Elephas maximus indicus: one gene and its partner. The protein of the gene in region 2 purifies or fractionates together with the protein of the main gene of each other region. This does not show direct contact. Links are inferred from orthologs where the notes say so. Each region holds a gene or a part of one and is shown on either strand. Other genes may lie near its edges. The genes, in order: IFT25 and IFT88.

Region 1 (11,357 bases), on a different chromosome or scaffold from region 2:
CTGGTGCAGAGAAGGCAAGGAAGACATAGACACAAGCAATTTGATTTGGAGTTGGGAATACTTTCCCAACCAGAGGAGAACCTGGCACAGAAGAAAGCTGTTTTAATATCAGAAAGACCAGCACATGTTTATATGCTACAACGAACAATCCAGTAGAGAAGGAGAGTGGGCTATAGCCGCCAGAAGTCCAGGCTGTTTCAGTTCTTACCCTACAGGAAAACAGTGGCCATGCCAGCTCAACAACGGCTTACATTGGAGCAAGAGGAAGCAAAGCAATGGGTGAATGAAGGCAGCCATGTTCAACTCTTGTTCACGAGTCTTGAAAACCTAGGTTCCAGGAGGAACAACTAAAGACCTTGCGGCTGTGCAGCTTAAAAAGTCTCAGGAAGACACAGTCAACTGTTTCCAGAGGAAGAGCTTTCCTGGGCCAGAGGGAACAGATATGTTTTATGGATTCGGACTAATTAAAGAGAGACAAATTTTGACTCAGTAGGAAAAGGAATTTTGAACTGAATGAAAATGGAAGCACAACGTATCAAAATTAATGGGATGCTGTTAATGCAGTGCTTAGAGAGAAATTTATAGCATGAAATGCATATGTTAGAAAAGACGAATGTCCTTAATTACTTCAGCTTTCACCTTAAGAAACTATAAAAAGAGGAGCAAATGAAACCCAGAGTAAGCAGAAGAAAGGAAATGATAAATATCAGAATGAATATTAATGGAAAACAGAAAAAAAATATGGAAAATCAGTGAAACCAACAGGTGATTCTTTGTGAAGGTCAATAAATTTGATAAATCTTTAGCCAAACTGATAAGGAAAAAGAGAATGAAGACACAAATTACTAATATCAGGAATGAGAGTGGAGATGTCATTACAGATTCTACAAGTGTTAAAAAGATAATAAGGTAAGATTACAAATAACTTTATAGCAATAAATTCAGTAACTTTGAAGAAATGGACAAATCCCATGAAAGACAAACTACGAAAACTCACTCAAGAACAAACAGATAATCTGAATAGTCCTATATTTATTAAAGAAATTGAATTTTTAGTTAAAAATCTTCCCGAAAAGAAAATCTCAAGGCCAGATGGCTTCACTAGGGAATTCTACCAATCATTTAAGGAAGAAATAATACCAGTTCTATTACAAAATATTCCAGAAAACCAGAAAGGTGGGAATACTTCCCAACCCATTCTATGAAGCCAGCATTACCCTGATACCAAAGCCTGACAAGAAAAACAGAGACCAATATCCCTCATGAATATAGATGCAAAAATTCTTAATAAAATTTTAGTAAATTGAATATCTGTATACATATATGTATATATAAAGGATGGGCAAGTGAGGTTTATCCCAGGGATGCAAGATTGGTTAAAAATTTCAAAATAAGTTAATGGAATTCACCATATTAGCAAACAAAATGAAACATGATCATCACAATAGACACAGAAAAAATTCGACATCATTCCTGATACAAACTTTCAGCATACTAGAATAGAAGGAAACTTTCTCAACCTGATCAAAGTCATCAACATAAAAGCTACAGCTAGCATCATACTTAGTAGTAATAGACTGAATGCTTTCTCCTTAAGATCAGGATAAAGACAAGGATGTCTGTTCTCACCATTCCTATTCAACATTTTGCACGGCCAGTACAATAAGAGAGGAAAAAGAAATAAGGCATCCAGACCAAAAAAACTAGAACTAAATTTATTCACAGATGACTGGATTATCCATGTAGAAAATCTGATGGATTATACAAAAGACCTACTGGAAATAATGAGTTTAATAAAGTTGTAGGATGCATGATCAATATATGCAAATTTTATTTCTGTATTTTAGCAACAAACAATTGGGAATTAAAATTGCAAAACAACCTCATTTGTCAAAAAAGATAAAATGCTTAGGAATAAATCTGACAAAAGATGTGCAAGATCTGTACAGTGAAACCTAGTAAAGAGAGAGAGAGAACGTGATCATGGGTCAGAAGACTGAACGTTGTTAAGATGTCAATTCTTTCCAACCAGATCTATAGTTTCAATGCAATCCCAGTCAAAATCCTAGGAGACATTTTTGTTTGTTTCAAAAATATTTATTTTATATTTGGTGAAAATATATACAGCAAAACGCACCTATTCAGCAATTTCTACATGTACAATTCATTGACATAGGTTACATTTTTCATATTGCATCATCATTCTCCCTGGTGACTTTTCGAAACAGAAATTGGCAAGCTGATTCTAAAATTCACATGGGAATGCAAAGGACCTAGAATAGCAAAACAACTTGGAACATGAACAAAGTAGGAGGACTAACGACACCTGATTTCAAGATTTATTCTAAAGCTACAGTGGCCAAGACAGTGTGGTATCGGCATCAAGATTGACAAATAGTAAATGGAACAGACCAGAGAGTCCTCAAATAGATTCACACATATATGGACAAGGAGCCCCTGGATGATGCAAACAGTTAAGCACTCAACTACTAGCCAAAAGGTTAGCGGTTCAAACTCACCCAGAGGCTCCTCGGAAGACAGGCCTGGTGATCTGCTTCCAAAAGGTCACCACCTTGAAAACCCTATGAAGCAGTTCTACTCTGCACACATAGGGTCGCAAGGAGTTGGAATCGACTACGCAGCAGATAATAACAACAACATTTAGGTCTATGCTCCATTTTAAGTTAATTTTTGTATATGGTATGAGAAATGGAGTAAACCCTGGTGGCGTAGTGGTTAAGTGCTATGGCTGTTAACCAAAAGGTTGGCAGTTCGAATCCACTAGACACTCCTTGGAAACTCTTATGAGGCAGTTCTACTCTGTCCTGTAGGGTCGCTATGAGTCGGAATCGACTCGATGGCAATGGGTTGTTTTTTTTTTTAAATGAGAAATGGATCAAAATTAATTTTTTTATTTATGGAGTCCAATTGTTCCAGCACCAACTGTTGAAAAGATAATTCTTTCTCTACTGAATTGCCTTTACACCTTTGAAAAAAATCGTTCGTTCATGTATGTTGTTGTTAGTTGCTGTCGAGTTGATTTCAACTCATGACGACACCATGCGTGCAGAATAGAACTGCTCCATAGAGTTTTCTTTTCAGAAGCAGATTGCCAGGCCTGTCACCCGAGGTGCCTCTGGGTGGGTTTGATCTGCCAACCCTATGACTAATAGTTGAGCACTTAACTGTTTGCATCACCCAGAGATGGGGCTGGCAAGGGCTCCCTTTGTGGGTTCAGGTCACAGACACAGGCCCATGAGATGAGTGAGGGTCTCACAGGCAGAGAAGGCAGTGTCTAGCTTACTATGAGACCTAAATATAAAACCTAAAATTATAAACCTAGAAGAAAACATAGAATAAAATTATCATGAACTTAGGCTAGGCAATGATTTCATAGATAAAACACCAAAAGCATGATCCATAAAAGAAAAAATTGATCAATTGGACTGCATAAAAAAAAAAAAAAGTCTGCTCTTTGAAAGACACTTTTAAAAGAATGAAAAGACAAGCCACAGATTGGGAGAAATTATTTTCAAATTATAAATCTCATATGAGTATATATATAAAAAAAAGAGTATATAAAGCACTGTCAAAATGCAATATTGAGAAACAAGCAATCCAATTTAAAATAAAGAAAGAAGATTTGCATAGAGTTTCACCAAGGAAGATACACTGATGTCAAATAAGCACATGAAAAGATGCTCAGCATCCTTAGTTATTAGGGAAATGCAAAGTAAAACACGATGAGATACTACTACACTGGTTAGTAGGTGCCGACAAGCAGATTCCTACTCAGAGTGACTGCCACAGAGCCTCTGCGTGGGTTCGAAATGTTAACCTTTCAGTTAGCGGCTGAGTGCTTAACCATTGGCACCACTAGAGCTCCTTTACTACTAGGCTAAAAAAGGCTTAAATTAAAAAGACTAACCATACCAAGTACTGGAGAGGATATAGAGCAACTGCAACTCTCCTGCCCTGAGGGTGTGAGCATAAATAACACAGCCACTTTGGAAAAAGGCAGTTTCAGGAAGTTAAACACATGCCTACCACATCCAGGCATTCCACTCCTAGACATTCATAGAACATAAATGAAAGTGTATGTCCACGTAAAGACTCACACACAAATTTTCATGGCAACTTCGTTTTTCAGCCCAAGCTGGAAAGAACCCAACCATCAACAAATCAATGGATAACCCAACTGTGATATATTTATACAATGGAACGTTCCTCAGCAATAAAAAGGAATGAACTATTGTACACACTAGCATATGCATACATCTCAAAATAGTTATTATGAGTGAAACAAACCAGACAAAAAAAAGTACATACGATATAATTCCATTTATATAAAATTCCAGAAAAATGACAGAAGATAAATCAGTTGCCTGAGAATGGAGCGGATAGCGGGGAGAGAGTTACTGCAAAGAGCATGAGACAAGTTTTGGGGGTGATGGATTTGTCCATATCTTCACTGTGGAGATAGTCAAAACTTATTAAACTGTATACTTTGAACATGTATTTCCCATTCCAGTTGCCATCGAGTCAATTCCAACTCATAACAACCCTATAGGACAGAGTAGAACTGCCCCATAGGGTTTCCAAGGAGTGGCTGGTAGATTCGAACTGCCGATCTAGTATAGCTTATTGGATGTCAATTATAACTTAATAAAGCTTTTTCTAAAAAACTCATTGTACCATACACTTAAATCTGTGCATTTCATCGTATGTAAATTATCTCTCAATAAGTGTTAAAAAAAAAAAAAAAAAAAAAAACCACTTCTACCTGACCTGGAGTTGCTCAGTTGGCCCCAGGAGTATCAAAATCCCAGCGACAGCCCACCAGGCAGTGCAGCTTTGGGCTGATCCCTTCCATCCCTGGGAAGCAGTGTCCTCCTTTGTTAAAAACCTGGCTGCTCTCTGAGATCCTTGCCAGCTCTGATGTCTGTGGTTCTGTAAGTCTAAGGATGAAGAAAGAGTCCCAGGCAAACAGCGATGGTAGAGGGTTAAACCAGACCAGATTTCCAGCCCAGACCCTGGGGCAAAGCCTGAGCCACTTTAAATTCCATTCATCTATCCCTTCGTGTTTGCACAGCAAAGAACTTGTTGTACTTAAAGTACTGATCTTGGAGCTGGGGCCAGGAGGCTGGGAGATGGCAAATATTGACGCTGACTGCCTGGGCTCTTGCTCCAGGCTGTGGCATTAAATCCCCCGCACTGTTGAAGTGAGCTGGGGGAGGGCCCTGCCTGGCTACCTTGGGCCTTGTGTCTTTCTGGTGCTGGTTTACAAAGCGCTGTTTGGGAGGTTGCTACGGCAACTGCTCCTATTTGAAAGGAAAAACGGACAAACAAGAAAAGAACAGTTCTCCTGCCAACGCCAGCTACCTTCTGTTTACAGGCTGCTGCCCCCTGGCCTGGCCTAGGGAGACCTGGCCAAAAAGACACCAAGGAGGGGGTATGGCCGCCTCTGGCTTTGGGCCTATCAAGATTTAAATTCTGGCTCTGCTCTTAAAAGCTATGTGATCTTAAGCAAGCTCTTCACCTCTCTATGCCTCGGTTTCCTCTTTTGTAAAGTGCAGATAACCAAACCAGGTTCCTGGAGGGCTCGTGAGGATTAGAGAAAATGAGATACCAGAGATGAGACATACAGAGGTTTGGAATAGTGCCTGCCAAGTACTAACTGCTCAGCTCAACAAATTCTGGCTGTTAATATTAATTAAAGCCCCTAGAATAGTGCTTGGAGTCCACGGGTGGCACAAACAATTAAGCGCTTAACTACTAACGGAAAGGTTGGCTGTTGGAACCTACCCAGAGGCGCTCTGGAAGGCAGGCCTGGCAATCTGCTTCTGAAAGGTCACAGCCTTGAAAACCCTACAGGGCAGCTCTACCCTGCACACGTGGGGTCACCACTCATCGGAATCGACTCAATGGCAACTAACAGCAGTAGAGTGCTTGCCGCTCCTCTTTCCGGTGCGTGAAGCTGTACTGTTTCCAAATGGCGTTCATGTTCAGGATCCCACTTTTTCCGCTCAGTGAGACTGCAGTCTGGTGATGTATCCTTATTCCTGATGTTCAGATGAGGACAGCCCCTCCCCTGAAGGAGGAATCAAACGTGTACCTCCTGCGGAAAACCTCTGCCACCACCACAGGGCCTCTAAAATCAAGCTCACTCTCTGCAGCTCAGACCCAAGGCTTCTCCCCGTACCCCTAATCATGCTGGACTACCTTGTGCTCCCTCAGTTGCCAGGCGCCCACCCAGTGCTGAACCTGGGCATCTCTTCAGCCTGGAATGCCCTCGCCCTGCTTCCCTCTTGGCTATTCCTAATCCTCCTCCAAGGCCCTGCTCAGGCATCATCTCCACTATGAAGCCTTCCAGACCTCCTGAGACATAACAGAATACAGCAAACTATCGTGGCTGTGTCCAGACTTCAGAGTTTGGTACAGCAGACATGTGCCCTTCAACAAGCTGCTTCTAAACCTCAGCATAAAGACAGTTGTGAAGACTAAACGGTTGTGAGATTACTATTTACTGGTGCCTGGTACATAGTAAGGGTTCAATAAATGCTAACTCTGTGCACCTACCAAAACTTGTTGCAGTCGACTCGATTCCAACTTTTAGTGACCCTAGAGGACAGAGTAGAACTGCTCCATAGGGTTTCCAAGGAGCAGCTGGTGGATTTGAACTGCCAACCTTTTGGTAGCAGCTGTAGCTCTTAACCACTGTACTATCAGAGCTCTGTGTGCACCTAAATACCCGGCTTTTAGTCCTTGCCCTGCTACTGACCCAGACAAGTTTGTCTTAGCCTCAGTTTCTCCATCCTGTGAAATGAAACTTTTTAACCCCCAGAGGACCATGGATGGGATTGGTTTTGAGGGGGAGGTGCTGGTGCCTCTGGGGGGTTTTCTGAGAAGAGCTGCAGGACACAGAAGAAACCCAGGACTGGGTGACCACTGAGGACCCAACTACTTCTCTCCCACTGGGCCCAACCACATCACCACCAGCTCCTGCTGAGAACTGGGTGCTTTCTGGACACCTGAACCACAGGCTGACTTAGTTTGAGCAAACATAGGCTCAAGTTCATCATCTGGCCCAGCTTGCATGGCCTCTCCACAGCAACGCTCTCTCTATAACCAGTGCTCAGGGCTTCCTTGATTCAGGAACCCATTGGCATTAGAGTACTGGAGTGAGCCTCTGGAACTTTTCTTGTTCCTCGGGGACCAATTTGACCCTCTCTTCCCCTTGAGACTGGCATCCCACTGGAGAGAGCATCGGCCAGGACAGGGGTCCAGGAGCCCCTTCCCAGGCATCCTGGACTCCTTAGTCATCCTCAGACTCCATACCTTGCCCCCAGTAGGCCCTGAGACCCATGGCTTCTACCTGTAAATAGCCCTAACCACCCCTCTTCTCTGCCCACCTCATCTGAGACCTTGACATTTCTTTCTCCGACTGTTGCAATTAAAATTGTCACTGAAGCCCCAGACAGTTCTAGTTTATTACCCCTTGATGATACCCACTGCCTTTATAGGATAAAGTGTGGTACATTATGCCCTTCAAGATCCAGCCCCTGCTCACCTCTCTGGCCCCTTCCCTCCACCTCATGCTTTGGCCACTCTGGGCTGCTGGCCATTCCCTGGCTGTGCCGTTCAGTACTGTCACACCTCCGTGCATTTGTTTGCATGGCCTCAGCTTGGAATGTGCTTCTCCCCTGCCTCTACCTCTGGAAATTCTCCTAGCCCTCTTGAACCCAACTCAAATGCCTCTGTTTCTGGGAAGGAAGCCTCCTCTAGTCCTGTCGTTAGAACTACAGAGGCCCCGAGGGCTCCTGCAGCTTCTTGCTTGTGCTACAGTTCAAGAGAAGTTCAGTAAAAGAGGCCAGAGCCAAGGACACCCCAGGGAGCAGCAGGGTGAGAAAGGTGATTGTGTCCTGGCTCCTGGAGGCTCCTCCTTGGTGCCCTTGGCCCTGCATTTCCTGCTGTCCAACCGGTCTCACCACGGTGTGAGGGTGTCTCCCCCAAGGCCCCAAGCTTCTGGGTGCCCAGAACCTTACACACAACTTGGCCCAGAGCAGGTTCTGAGACTGCTGGATGAGTGAATGAATGACTGAGGCAGTGAATGAGCCAGAGCTCATCAGTCTCTCGGACACCCATTTGCAGTTCAGAGCTCACAGGGACTGATACATGTAACCGATTTTATTAATTTTGGATGTTGTTGCTGTGTGCCACCGAGTAGATTTCGACTCATAGTGACCCCAGGTGACAGAGTAGAACTGCCCCACAGATTTTCCTAGGCTGTAATCTTTATAGGAGCAGATCTCCAGGTCTTTCTCCCATGTAGTGGCTGGGTGGGTTCAAACCTCCAACCTTTTGGTTAGCATCTGAGTTTTAAACCATTGCACTACCAGGGCTCCTTCATTTCAGATTATGTGTGTGGAGTGGCAGGGGCGGGGGGGACCTGTATATCTGTCTCCCTCAACAGCGACCTTCTCACTGGCAGATTCCAACTCTCTTCCAGAATAAGGGTGGGCCACAATCTGACTTTCAAGTGAACCTTTTTTTTAATATCTCACATGGACTCCATCCCTGGCCAAGGTGTCATCACTCTGGTAGCAGGAGAGGCTCTGGGCTCGGGCTCCATAGTTCAGTCCCAGTTCCAGCAAGGATTTTGCTTGTGATCCTGACCAAGTCACCGCCCCTCCCGCATCTCAGTTTTCTCATGGTTCATTTTTTTTTCAATGGAGATATCCATCTCCTTGCCTGCCTGAATGTTGTGAAGCTGGAAAGGTGTGCTGAGAAACTCCAAGACCAAATGTTGTGAAGCTGGAAAGGTGTGCACTCAGGCTCCAGGACCAAAATACAATCCTGCTTCCAGAAACCTGGCTTGTTTATCTGGGCAGCTGGTGATGGGCAGGAGCGGGGGTGGGAGATGGGGGATGGGAGGATGGAGAATGGGAAGGACGACAGAGGGGCACTGAGGAGCTCAGAACCTCCTGGGATAGCTTCCCACTGGCCAGGTGACAATTACCCTGTCTCATGATTCATCTCACATGATCTATAAGTAGGGCCTGCTAGGATTACCGAGTTGAGAAAAAGTGCTAAGGCTGTAGCCCAACCTGGATGATTGGTTAGCAATGTCTGCCTTAGGTACTAAAGGGGCAAAAAGTGGCACACGTTTCACATAGGTGCCATCCAAAAGGGCTGTCTTAGTTACCTAGTGCTGCTATAACAGAAATACCACAAGTGGATGGCTTTAACAAAGAGAAATTTATTCTCTCACAGTCTAGTAGGTTACAAGTCCAGATTCAGGGTGTGAGCTCCAGGAGAAGGCTTCCTCTCTCTGTTGGCTCTGGAGGAAAGTCCTTGTCATCAATCTTCCCCTGGTCGAGTTGCTTCTCAGATGCAGGGACCCCAGGTCCAAAGGATGCGCTCTGCCCCGGGTGCTGCTTTCTTGGTGATATGAGGTCCCCAACTCTCTGCTTGCTTCCCTTTCCTTTTATCTTGAGAGATAAAAGGTGGTGCAGGCCACACCCCAGGAAACTCCCTTTATACTGGTTCAGGAAGGTGACCCGAGTAAGGGTGGTGTTACAGTCCCACCCTAATCCTCTCAACATAAATTACAGTCACAAAATGGAGGACAACCACACAATACTGGGAATCATGGCCTAACCAAGTTGACACATATTTTGGGGGGGGACACAATTCAATCCATGACAAGGGCTAAACACTTCTGCTGGCATTTGAATCCCAGACCTGTCTGCTCTCCAAGGGGTGACAAAATCATGACCTGCAAGCCTTTCCTGGAGCAGTGAAAGCAGATTTCATCCGTGTAGAAGCACGGAAATCACGGAAGCCCTCATCTTTGTTGGGAGCTACCTAACATGGTAGTGAGCTCCCTGTCACTGCAGGTATTCAATTAGAGGCCGAACAACTTGAAAGCAGGAGAGGCAATTCCTATTCAGAGAAGGTACACAGATCGTACTGCATGATCTCAAAGGCTCCTTCCTACCCTCATGTTCTAGGATTTGATGCACACGTGAAGGCTTCTAAATGTCATTCCATCCATCCGTCTCCCACTCTGGACTGGGGGACTGCTCAGAGTCCAGGGCAGGAGTACTCGTCAGACCAGTCGGAGCAGTGCTGCACGTGGTCCTGGCAGAGACTCCTTGGGATGCATTCGCAATACCTGAAGACAGTCGGAGTGCAGCGCCACCACCCGGGACCACAGGACGGGCACAAGGTCACTGGGGAAACAGGAGCTGGCCATTGTATCCTGGAATGCCCTATTTACCAGGGCACTGCCTAGCTCTGGACCCTACCACAGAGCCTTATAACCCTACCCCATCTGAGTTGGGGTTGACTGTGTTCCTTATTTCCCTACAGCAGAAAGATTCTGGTCTCCCCAGCTCACAGGCTATGTAACCTTGGACAAGTTGCTCACCCTGTCTGAGCCGCCGTTTCCTCATCTGCTCAAGGTTGTTACTAAATAAAAGAAGACAGGCAAAGTGCCAGGCACATGATCGAGATTCAGATATTCACGTGTGCTGTTATGGATCGAATTGTGTCCGGACAAAATGTGTGTCAACTTGGCTAAGCCATGACTCCCAGTATTGTGTGGTTGTCTACCATTTTGTTATCTGATGTGCTTATTCTATGTGTTGTAAATCCTAACTTCTATGATGTCAGTGAGGCAGGACTCAATCTACAGGATTAGGTTGTGTCTTGAGTCAATCTCTTTTGAGATATAGAAGAGGGAAGCGAGCAGAGAGGAAAGGGACCTCCTAACGCCAAGAAAGCAGAGCCAGGAGCAGAGTCTATCATTTGGACCTGGGGTCCCTGTGCTGAGAAGCTCCTAGACCAGGGGAAGATTGATGATAAGGACCTTCCCCCAGAACCAACAGAGAGCGAAAGACTTCCCCTGGAGCTGGCGCTCTGAATTCAACTTCTAGACTGTGAGAGATAAATCCACTTGTGGTATTTCTGCTATAGCAGCACTAGATAACCAAGAGAGCCCTGGTGGCATGGTGGCTGAAGAGCTCAGCTGCCAACCAAAAAGTCAACAGTTCAAGGGCAGTTCGACCCTGTCCTATAGGGTGGTTGAGCCGGAATCAACTCCATGGCAATGGGTTAAATAACTAAGACATGTGCTTATTTAAAAAAAAAAAAAAAAAAACTCTGAGGCATGAAAGAACTTGGAGTCAGGACACTTGGGTTTACACCTAAGCTCCTTTCCTGTCACTCATTGTATTAAGTCCCTCCTCTTCTCTGAGCCTCAGTTTACCTACATAAGAATTGGGGACAGTGACTCTTGTCCTGCTTCCCTCACAGGGGTATTGGGAGGTGCAGAAGAAATGAGGGAGATCCAG
Region 2 (10,517 bases):
ATACTGAAGGGAGTTCTTTGGTTAGAAAATCAATAATATCAGGTATCAACCCAAGACTAGAACAATGGGCAGAGCAACTAGAAGTCAACCTCGACAGGGAAATCCAAAAAAACAAAGCAAGATTATAAAAAAAAAGCCCAAAACAGGGTGACAGTGACGTTATTATATAAAAGAACATGACATTAAAATAATAAAAGAGGGACCAAGAAATGTAATCCTACACCTTCCATATGGAGAGGAAGACACAGGATACAAAGAAATAAAAGTTAGTTTTAAGTTTAGAAAAATAGGGGTAAATAATAAGGTAACCACAGAGGAGACAAACTATCCTACTCATCAAAATAAAATACAAGCAAAAAAACAGACACAGCAGAAACAAAATCGACAACAACAAATATAAGGAAAGGACAATATATAAAGAAAATCTACTCAGCACATAAAATCAAGTGGCAAAAAGAAACTGTCAAAGCACAAAAAAAGACATGAAAATGATAGCACTAAATTCATACCTATCCATAATTACCCTGAATGTAAATGGACTAAATGCACCAATAAAGAGACAGAAAGTGGCATAATGGATTAAAAAACAAGATCCGTCTACATGCTGCTTACAAGAGACACACCTTAGAGACATAAACAAACTAAAACTCAAAGGATGGAAAAAATATATCAAGAAACAACAATCAAAAAAGAGCAGGAGTGGCAATATTAATTTCTGACAAAATAGACTTTAAAGTTAAATTCATCAGAAACGATAAGAAAGAATGTTATATAATGATTAAAGGGACAATACACCAAGAAGACATAACCATATTAAATATTTATGCACCCAGTGACAGGGCTGCAAGATACATAATACAAACTCTATCAGCATTGAAAAGTGAGACAGACAGCTCCACAATAATAGTAGGAGACTTCAACGCCCCACTTTCGGTGAAGGACAGGACATCCAGAAAGAAGCTCAATAGATCTAAATGCCACAATCAACCAACTTGACCTCGTAGACATATACAGAACACTCCACCCAACAGCAACCAAGTATACTTTCTTTTCTAGTGCACGTGGAACATTCTCTAGAATAGACCACATATTAGGTCATAAAGCTAGCCTTAGCAGAATCCAAAACACTGAAATATTACAAAGCATCTTCTCTGACCATAAGGCCATAAAATTGGGAATCAATAACAGAAAAAGCAGGGAAAAGAAATCAAATACTTGGAAACTGAACAATATCCTGCTCACAAAAGACTGGATTATAGAAGACATTAAGGATGGATAAAGAAATTCAGAGAATCCAATGAGAATGAAAATACTTCCTATCAGAACCTTTGGGACACAGTAAAAGTGATGCTCAGATGCCAATTTATTTCAATAAATGCACACATCAAAAAAGAAAAAGGGGCCAAAATCAAAGAATTATCCCTACAACTTGAACAAATAGAAAGAGAGCAACAAAAGAAACCCACAGGCACCAGAAGAAAACAAATAATAAAAATTAGAGCTGAACTAAATGAAATAGAAAACAGAAAAACAATGGAAAGAATTAACAAGACCAAAAGTTGTTTTTTTGAAAAAAATCAACAAAATTGATAAACCACTGGACAAACTGACAAAAGAAAAACAGGAGAGGAAGCAAATAACCCGAATACGAAATAAGATGGGCGATATTACAACAGACCCAACTGAAATTAAAAGAATCATATAAGGTTACTATGAAAAACTAGACTCAGACAAATTTGAAAACCTAGAGGAAATGGATGAATTCCTAGGAACACACTACCTAAACTAACAGAAACAGAGGTAGAACAACTAAATAGACCCGTAACGAAATAAGGAATTGAAAAGGTAATCAAAAAACTCCCCCCAAAAAAGCTCTGTTCCAGACGGCTTCTCTGCAGAGTTCTACCAATCTTTCAGAGAAGAGTTAACAGCACTACTACTAAAGGTATTTCAGAGCATAGAAAAGGATGGAATACTCCGAAACTCATTCTATGAAGCCACCATATCCCTGATACCAAAAGTAGGTAAAGACACCACAAGAAAAGAAAATTATACACCTATATCCCTCATGAACGTAGATGCAAAAATCCTCGACAAAAATCTAGCCAGTAGAATTCAACAACATATCAAAAAAATAATTCACCATGACCAAGTGGGATTCATACCAGGTATGCAAGGATGGTTCAACATTACAAAAACAATGAATGTAATCCACCACATAAGTAAAACAAAAGACAAAAATCACATGATTTTATCAAATGATGCAGAAAAGGCATTTCACAAAATTCAACGCTCATTCATGGTAAAAACTATCAGCAAAATAGGAATAGAAGGAAAATTCCTCAACATAATAAAGGGCAATTATACAAAGCCAACAGCCAACATCACCCTAAATGGAGAGAGCCTGAAAACATTCCCACTGAGATCAGGAACCAGACAAGGATACCCTTTATTACCACTCTTATTCAACAATGTGCTGGAAGTCCTAGCTAGAGCAATTAGGCTAGAAAAAGAAATAAAGAGCATCCAGATTGGCAAGGAAGACGTAAAAGTATCTCTATTTGTAGATGACATGATCTTATACACAGAAAACCCTAAGGAATCCTCCAGAAAACTACTAAAACCAATAGAAGAGTTCAGTGGAGTATCAGGATACAAGATAAACATACAAAAATCAGTTGGATTCCTCTACACCAACAAAAAGAACATCAAAGAGGAAATCACCAAATCAATGCCATTTAAGGTAACCCCCAAGAAGATAAAATACTTAGGAATAAATCTTACCGGAGATGTAAAAGACTTTTACAAAGAAAACTACAGTACACTTCCGCAAGAAACCAAAAGAGACTTACATAAGTGGAAGAACATACCTTGCTTGTGGATAGGAAGACTTAACATTGTAAAAATATCTATTCTACCAAAAGCAATCTATACATTTAATGCAATTCTGATCCAAATCCCAACCACATTCTTTAATGAGATGGAGAAACAAATCACCAGCTTCATATGGAAGGGAAAGAGGCCCCGGATGAATAAGGCATTACTGAAAAAGAAGAACAAAGTGGGAGGCCTTACTCTACCTGATTTTAGAACCTATTGTACCACCACAGTAGTCAAAACAGCCTGGTACTGGTACAACAACAGATACATAGACCAATGGAACAGAATTGAGAACCCAGACATAAATCCATCCACATATGAGCAGTTAATATTTGCCCAAGGCTTCAAAACAGTTAAACGGGGAAAAGACAGTCTTTTTTAACGAATAGTGCCAGGATAACTGGATATCCATCTGCAAAAAAATGAAACAAGACCCATACCTCACTTCATGCACAAAGATGAGCTCAAAAGGGATCAAAGACCTAAATATAAAATCTAAAACGATAAAGATCATGGAAGAAAAAATAGGGACAGCATTAAGAGCCCTAATACATGGCCTAAACGGTCTACAAAACAGTATAAAGAATGTAGAAGAAAAACTAGATAACTGGGAGCTCCTAAAAATCAAACACCTATGCTCATCCAAAGACTTCACCAAAAGAGTAAAAAGACTACCTACAGACTGGGAAAAATTTTTAGCTATGACATTTCTGATCAGCGCCTGATCTCTAAAATCTACTTGATACTGCAAAAACTCAACTGCAAAGAGACACATAACCTGATTAAAAAATGGGCAAAAGATATGAATAGACACTTCACTAAAGAAGATATTCAGGTAGTTAACAGATATATGAGGAAATGTTCACGATCATTAGCCATTAGAGGAATGCAGATCAAAACTATAACGAGATTTTATCTCACTCCAACAAGGCTGGCATTAATCCAAAAAACACAAAATAATAAATGTTGGAGAGGATGTGGAGAGATTGGAACACTTCTACACCGCTGGTGGGAATGTCAAATGGTACAACCACTTTGGAAATCGATTTGGCGCTTCCTTAAAAAGCCAGAAATAGAACTACCATACAATCCAGCAATCCCAGTCCTTGTAATATATCTTAGAGAAATAAGAGCCTTTACACGAACGGATATATGCACACCCATGTTTATTGCAGCACTGTTTACAATAGGAAAAAGATGGAAGCAACCAAGGTGCCTATCAATGGATGAATGGATAAATAAATTATGGTATATTCACACAATGGAATACTACACATCGATAAAGAAGAGTGAGGAATCTGTGAAACATTTCATACCATGGAGGAACCTGGAAGGGATTATGCTGAGTGAAATCAGTTGGTTGCAAAAGGACAAATTTGGATAAGGCCACTACTATAAGAACTTGAGAAATAGTTTTAACTGAGAAGAAAACATTCTTTTGTGGTTACGAGAGGGGGGAGGGGGAAGGAGAGAGGGGCATTCGCTAATTAGTAGATAAGAACTACTTTAGAAGAAGGGACAGACAGCACGCAATACAGGGGAGGTCAGCACAATTGGACTAAACCAAAAGCAAAGAAGTTTCCTGAATAAACTGAATGCTTCGAAAGCCAGCGTAGAAGGGGCAGGGGTCTGGTGACCATGGTTTCAGGGGACATCTAAGTCAACTGGCCTAATAAAATCTATTAAAACATTCTGCATCCCACTTTGAAGAGTGGTGTCCGGTTTTAAACGCTAGGAAGCAGCCATCTAAGATGCATCAATAGGTCTCAACCCAGCTGGATCAAAGGAGAATGAAGAACACCAAGGACACAAGGCGATTATGTGCCCAAGAGACAGAAAGGGCCACATGAACCAGTGACTACATCATCCTGACACCAGAAGAACTAGTGGTGCCCAGCTACAACCAATGACTGCCCTGACAGGGAACACAATAGAGAACCCCTGAGGGAGCAGGAGAGCAGTGGGATGCAGACCACAAATTCTCATAAAACGACCAGACTTAATGGTCTGACTGAGACTAGAAGGACCCCGGTAGTCATGTTCCCCAGACCTTCTGTTGGCCCAGGACAGGAGCCATTCCTGAAGCCATCTCTGCAGACATGGATTGGACTGGACAATGGATAGGAGAGGGATGCTGGTGAGGAGTGAGCTTCTTGGATCAGGTGGACACTTGAGACTATGTTGGCATCTCCTGCCTGGAGGGGAGATGATAGGGTGGAGGGGGTTAGAAGCTGGCGAAATGGACACGAAAAAGAGACAGTGAAAGGAGAGAGCAGGCTGTCTCATTAGGTAGAGAGTCATTGGGAGTATGTAGCAAGGTATATATGGGTTTTTGTGTGAAAGACTGAGTTGATTTGTAAACTTTCACTTAAAGCACAATAAAAATTAGAAAAAAAAAAAAAGTGCCTGGCAGCCTTCCCAGCTCTCATCTTGCAGGGTGAAGGCCGTTTCTCAAGAGAACAAAGAAGAAGAGAGACGAAGGCTATGGGAGCCAGCAGGGTTTTGCATCCCTTTGGAAGAGACCAGTGCAACTGGCGCAATAAAAAATGATTATAGATTGCTTAGTGCATCATTACAACATTAGTTACGTATGTCAAACTCTGAATCACTCAACTGAATAGAAGAAAACACTTGCAAGGTACTAGGGTCACAGGATCTTAAGGCCCTGTCCAGTGCGGAGAGCATAAAGCATACATTAAGAGCAAGAATGAAAGTGTGCACAGGTGGTATGGGATCACATTGCCCACAGGAGAGAAGAAGAAGAGGCGAGACTTCTCAGACAGGTATCATCTGAGAATAATCTTGTACGGTGACAGTGATTACAGAGTTTCCTAGGCTCCCAAAATTAGTGTGGTGGCTACAGGAGATATTTTACAGACACCCAAGTGTCATCCTTTGGTAATCTGCTTTCTGGCTGGTGTCATCAGGATTTATGAGAGCTTGGTTTCCTTCGCTCCGCCTCTCCACACACAGGCGGCCCGCTCCCTTCTTTTCCCTTTCCACCCCCCGAGCCCCTCGCCCCCTAGAGGGCCGTCCACCGCCCTCCAGGGTCACCAGCCCTGCACCGCTCCCCCGAGCAGCTCGCCGTCCCACGCCCCGCCCCCTCGAGACCGCCTGTCCTGCCCCCACCCCCGCGGGGCGCGCCCGGCACCGCCCCTCCGCGCGGAGGAGTGTGGGAACGGCTTCCCTGGATCCCGCTCTTGGTAACGGCTCCGGGCGCAGCGGTCTGGCCTGAGAAGACGGAGGCGTAGTAGATTCGCACAAAGGCCGCGTCTTCCTTGGGCTTTACGCGTGGTCACCCCCATTCCCCTCAACGTGAGGTAGGAAAAAGGCTGGGTGGGCAGAGAGTACTTCCGAGCGTCCCTTCGCCGGCGCGGGCGAAGATGCTCCGACCCGAGTAGAAGGCCGATTCTGGCTCGCGCCCTTTTGGCAGATTGAGTCTGGAACGCCGACCCCGCTCCCCCCGGATTTTCCGGCGGCTCCGCCTTGTGGTGCAGTTCCTTGGCTGCGCGGGCCCACTAGGCTTTGGAGGCCCCGCCCGCCCCTCGCCCCCGCAGCCCGCCCCTCGCCCCCGCAGCCCGCCCCTCGCCCCCGCAGCCCGCCCCTCGCCCCCGCAGCCCGCCCCTCGCCCCCGCAGCCCGCCCCTCCGGTACCACCGACGCCCATTCGGGGCGGGGCGGGGTGGGGGGGGATGCGGAGGCGGAGGGGGGGAGGCGGGGGAGACGGGGGACAAGCCGTGGGATGTGTGGTTCCGTCACATTTCTGCTTTAGGTGCCTACATTTGTCAACTCTGAAACGCCAGTGTTGATTTCCAAACGTTTGTTTCCAGTGGTCACGAGTTTTTATTACTCTTTTAACAGGGGCAGGCAGTTTTAATCTGCCGAGATGACTATTCCAAGTCACATAGTTAACAAATTCAAAAAAATCTAACCATTTGACCACCACTTGAATTTTGCGTTGAACAGGACTCTTTAGTTTTTGTGTTGTACTGTAAAGCTTTTGAATTTGCTCGTGAAAGGTTTAGTCAGGAGTGAAATGTAAAATTACCTAACAACGCATAAAGTGTGTACATCTCGCAAAGATAAAATATTACGAAGATTCGAAGCACTTTTTTCCCCAGACCTAGAATTCCATTTTTTCATTTACAAAGCTAATTTTCTGGTTGTGGGCTACACTAGGCATCTTAGAAATAGACTGTCCATCGTAGTCATAAAAAAAGAAATCAACACTTAAAAAAGGTTTTACAAGCAATGAGGTGGCATCATCTCCAGATTATCTTAACATAAAAGCCTGTTGTGTGTTGAAAGTGCTTTTGAAATAGCTTGGACAATCCAGGACCACTTGAATTGTAGTATTTGTTCTGTCACTCATAGCTGTGAACCCGTTGTTGTGAAGTCAATTCTGACTCAATAGCAACCCTATAGGACAAAGTAAAGCTGCCCCATAGGGTTTCTAAGGAGCTCCTGGTGGATACGAACTGCCGACTTTTTGGTTATCAGCCGAACTCTTAACCACTACGGCACCAGGGTTTCCCTCATAGCTGTTAGCCATGGGTAATTCACTTCACCTTTCATGGCCTTTGTTTCCACAAATTTAAAATAAGCACGTTCAATAAGATGTCTCTTCAACTAAAGACTCTTCCAAGTCTAAATTTTTTTCAGTTGGTTCTCTAGTTATAAAAGTTGCACATTTTTATGACTTTGTGTATAAGCTAAGCTGACTTAAATAGGGCTTATATTCGGGAAGATTTTGTTTAGCATAGTACAGTCATTCAGCCTTATCTGCGTGGGATTGGTTCCAGGGCCCCTGCAGTTGGTCAGGTGTTTTATATAAAATGGCATGGCATTTGCGTATAACCTACACACATCCTCCCATATACTTCAGATCATCTCTAGATAACTTACAGTACCTAATGCTGTTGCTAGGTGGAAACTCCAGGGTCTGCTCAGCATGACTTGTCTCAGCCAATAAACGAGACCAGGGCGGGAGAGTAGAAAGGTACCTTTATTTCATTGTGTAAGGAAGGGAATAGTAGGCAGTGCTGATGCCAAGACTGCTTATCGAGGGCTAGGGAGAATGTTACTTTTAAGGGGTTTACAAGTAGCAAGTTCATACAAGTTATGTCAACAACATTCTTAATGATACTATGTAAGCTGAGCGGGGTTTACATATAACTTCATGCATTGTGGGTTGAGAAAATGGTGGATAAATTCCACCTGGTGTGAGGAAGTTACTATGTATGAGGTATTTAATGAGCTGAAAGGTTATCCTGAATGTCAACATTGTGCTTAAACTGGTTTCCCCCAATTACCTCTAGTTTTGGGCAGTAGTTAAGGAGAGGGGAACCAGGATTTAATGTAAAGCTATGGGGCATGCCAAGCAAGCTCCTTGAGGCAGTGGAACTTTCCACAGCCTGGGGACCTCTGTCTTAATACTAATGCTTTGTAAATAGTTCATCACAATTGAAGACTTGCCCTGGAAGTAAGCCTTTCTCTTCTATGAGTATATTCAGCTCTTTTGGGAACACTGATGATGCCTTGGCATCAACTGATGCCAATTCTCCAGTAATCTTTAAGTTCTCGAGGCTGTAGCACTTTACATAGGTAGCCAGCCATGCCTTACTAGCCTTAAACTCCTTCCTCCCACTCAACCCCCTCACATTTAGCCTTTGAGGGATTGCTTTGACCATTTCATTGCTTTTTAGGAGCCATTTTTTCACAGAAACAAAGAGTGCACACAACACAAGTAGAGAATGAATGAGATGCAAGGCAGACAATGCTCAAACAACGGCTGAGGATCTGTGAAATGATGGGAGGTTACAGCAGAGTATGCTTACACATTACTCCATTCCTGTGGATTTAGCATAGCGTTCAGCATGCAGCAAATTCAAGTTTTGGTCTTTTGGAACTTTGTTTTTACCGTTTTTTTCTTTTTTGGATATTTTCAATCCGTGGTTGGTTGAATCCAAGGATGCAGAACCTGCAGGTATGGACGGCTGACTGGTTTTTAGCATGGCTTCCAAACCAGCAGAATCAGCATCACCTTGGAACTTGTTTAGAAATGCACATTGTAAGAGGTGGAGGGGTGGTGATATCCCCCATAGTAGATTTCCTCAGTCAGAAAGGGGGGGCAGCAATCTATTTTAACATGCCCTTAGGAATCTGATACACACTAAAGTTTGAGAACAGCTGGTTGGCATTATCTGACCTAAAGCTTTTGAGTTAAAGTACTTTATCTTCCACTAGTTACTTTTAATACCATTTTGAAGGTATTGTGGGATGAATTGTCTTTTGACAGTTGATTTTATAGTAGTGAATTTTCATCTTCAGAAATTATTGAGAAATTAACTCAAAATGGATTAAAGACCTAAATGTAAGATCTAAAACTATAAAACTCTTAGAAGAAAACCCAAGTGTAAATCTTCTTTGGATTAGGCCATGATTTCTTAGATACAACACCAAAAGCTCAAGTAACCAAAGAAAAAATGGATAAATTGGACATCGTAAATTTTAAAACTTTTGTACTTCAAAGGACACTATCAAAGTGAAAGGACTGCCTTCATAACGGAAAATATTTGTAAATCATGTATCTGATAAAGGTCTGGTATTCAGAATGTATAAAGAATTCTACTGCTCAACAATAAAAGGACATAAGACCCAGCTAAAAAACGAGCAAAGGCTCTCAATAAACATTTCTCCAGAGATCCATCGATACTCGATAAGCATATGAAAAGATGCTCAATATTGTGAGTCATGAAGGCAAATGCAGATTAACACCACAGTAGGATACCACTTTAAACACACTAGGGTGGCTGTAATCAAAGTCAGATAATAACAAGTGTTGACAAGGATGTGGAGAAATTAGAACCCCTATACACTGCTAGTGGGAATGTAAAATTTTACAGCCGTTTTGGAAGACAGTATGGCAGTTTCTCATAAATTTAAGCGTAGTGTTCCCATTTGACCTAGCTGTTCCACTCCTAGGTTTATGTCCAAGAGAAACAAAAATATGTCCACGTAAAAACTTGTACACAAATGTTCACAGGAGCGTTATTCATAATAGCCAAAAAATAGAAACAATCCAGATGTCCATCAGTAGATGGATGAATGGATAAACAAAATGTGGCATAGGTTTAAAATGTAATATTATTTCCATAAAAGGGATAAAGTACTGATACATGCTACAATGTTAATGAATCTTGAAAACATGCTGAGTGAAAACGGCCAGCCATTAAAGACCATGTATTATGTGCTTCCGTTTATATGAGATGTGCAGAATATGCAAATTTATAGAGATATAAAGTAGATTACTGGTTACCTAGGGCTGAGGGTGGATGTGGAGGATAGGGAGTGATAGCTAAAGAGTATGGAGAAATGAATTATATGATAAAAATATTCTATAATTGATTGTAGTGATAGTTGCACATCTGTGAGTATACTAAAACTCATTTCATTGTTCACTTTAAATGGGTGAATAACATGTGAATTATATCTCAATAAAGCTGTTAAAAAGAAAGAAATGAAGTACTCATATGCTACAACATGGATGAACCTTGAAAACATTATGCTGGATGAAAGAAGCCAGACACAGAAGGCCACACAGTGTATGATTTCATTGTATAGAGTCCACAATAGGCA

The links.
Region 1: the proteins of IFT88 (region 2) and IFT25 purify together in Homo sapiens (affinity purification with mass spectrometry; 3 studies listed by BioGRID and IntAct, with this or other methods). This does not show direct contact. The link is inferred for Elephas maximus indicus from reciprocal best matches to the Homo sapiens genes IFT88 and IFT25.

Annotation. Positions count from the first base shown.
Region 1 is NC_064821.1:97,419,780-97,431,136, forward strand, and holds the start of IFT25 (intraflagellar transport protein 25 homolog), read right to left. Parts: upstream 5,111-11,357; 5' UTR 4,784-5,110; intron 1-4,783. UniProt on the Homo sapiens protein: Component of the IFT complex B required for sonic hedgehog/SHH signaling.
Region 2 is NC_064841.1:50,805,703-50,816,219, forward strand, and holds the start of IFT88 (intraflagellar transport protein 88 homolog), read left to right. Parts: upstream 1-6,029; 5' UTR 6,030-6,200; intron 6,201-10,517. UniProt on the Homo sapiens protein: Positively regulates primary cilium biogenesis. Also involved in autophagy since it is required for trafficking of ATG16L and the expansion of the autophagic compartment.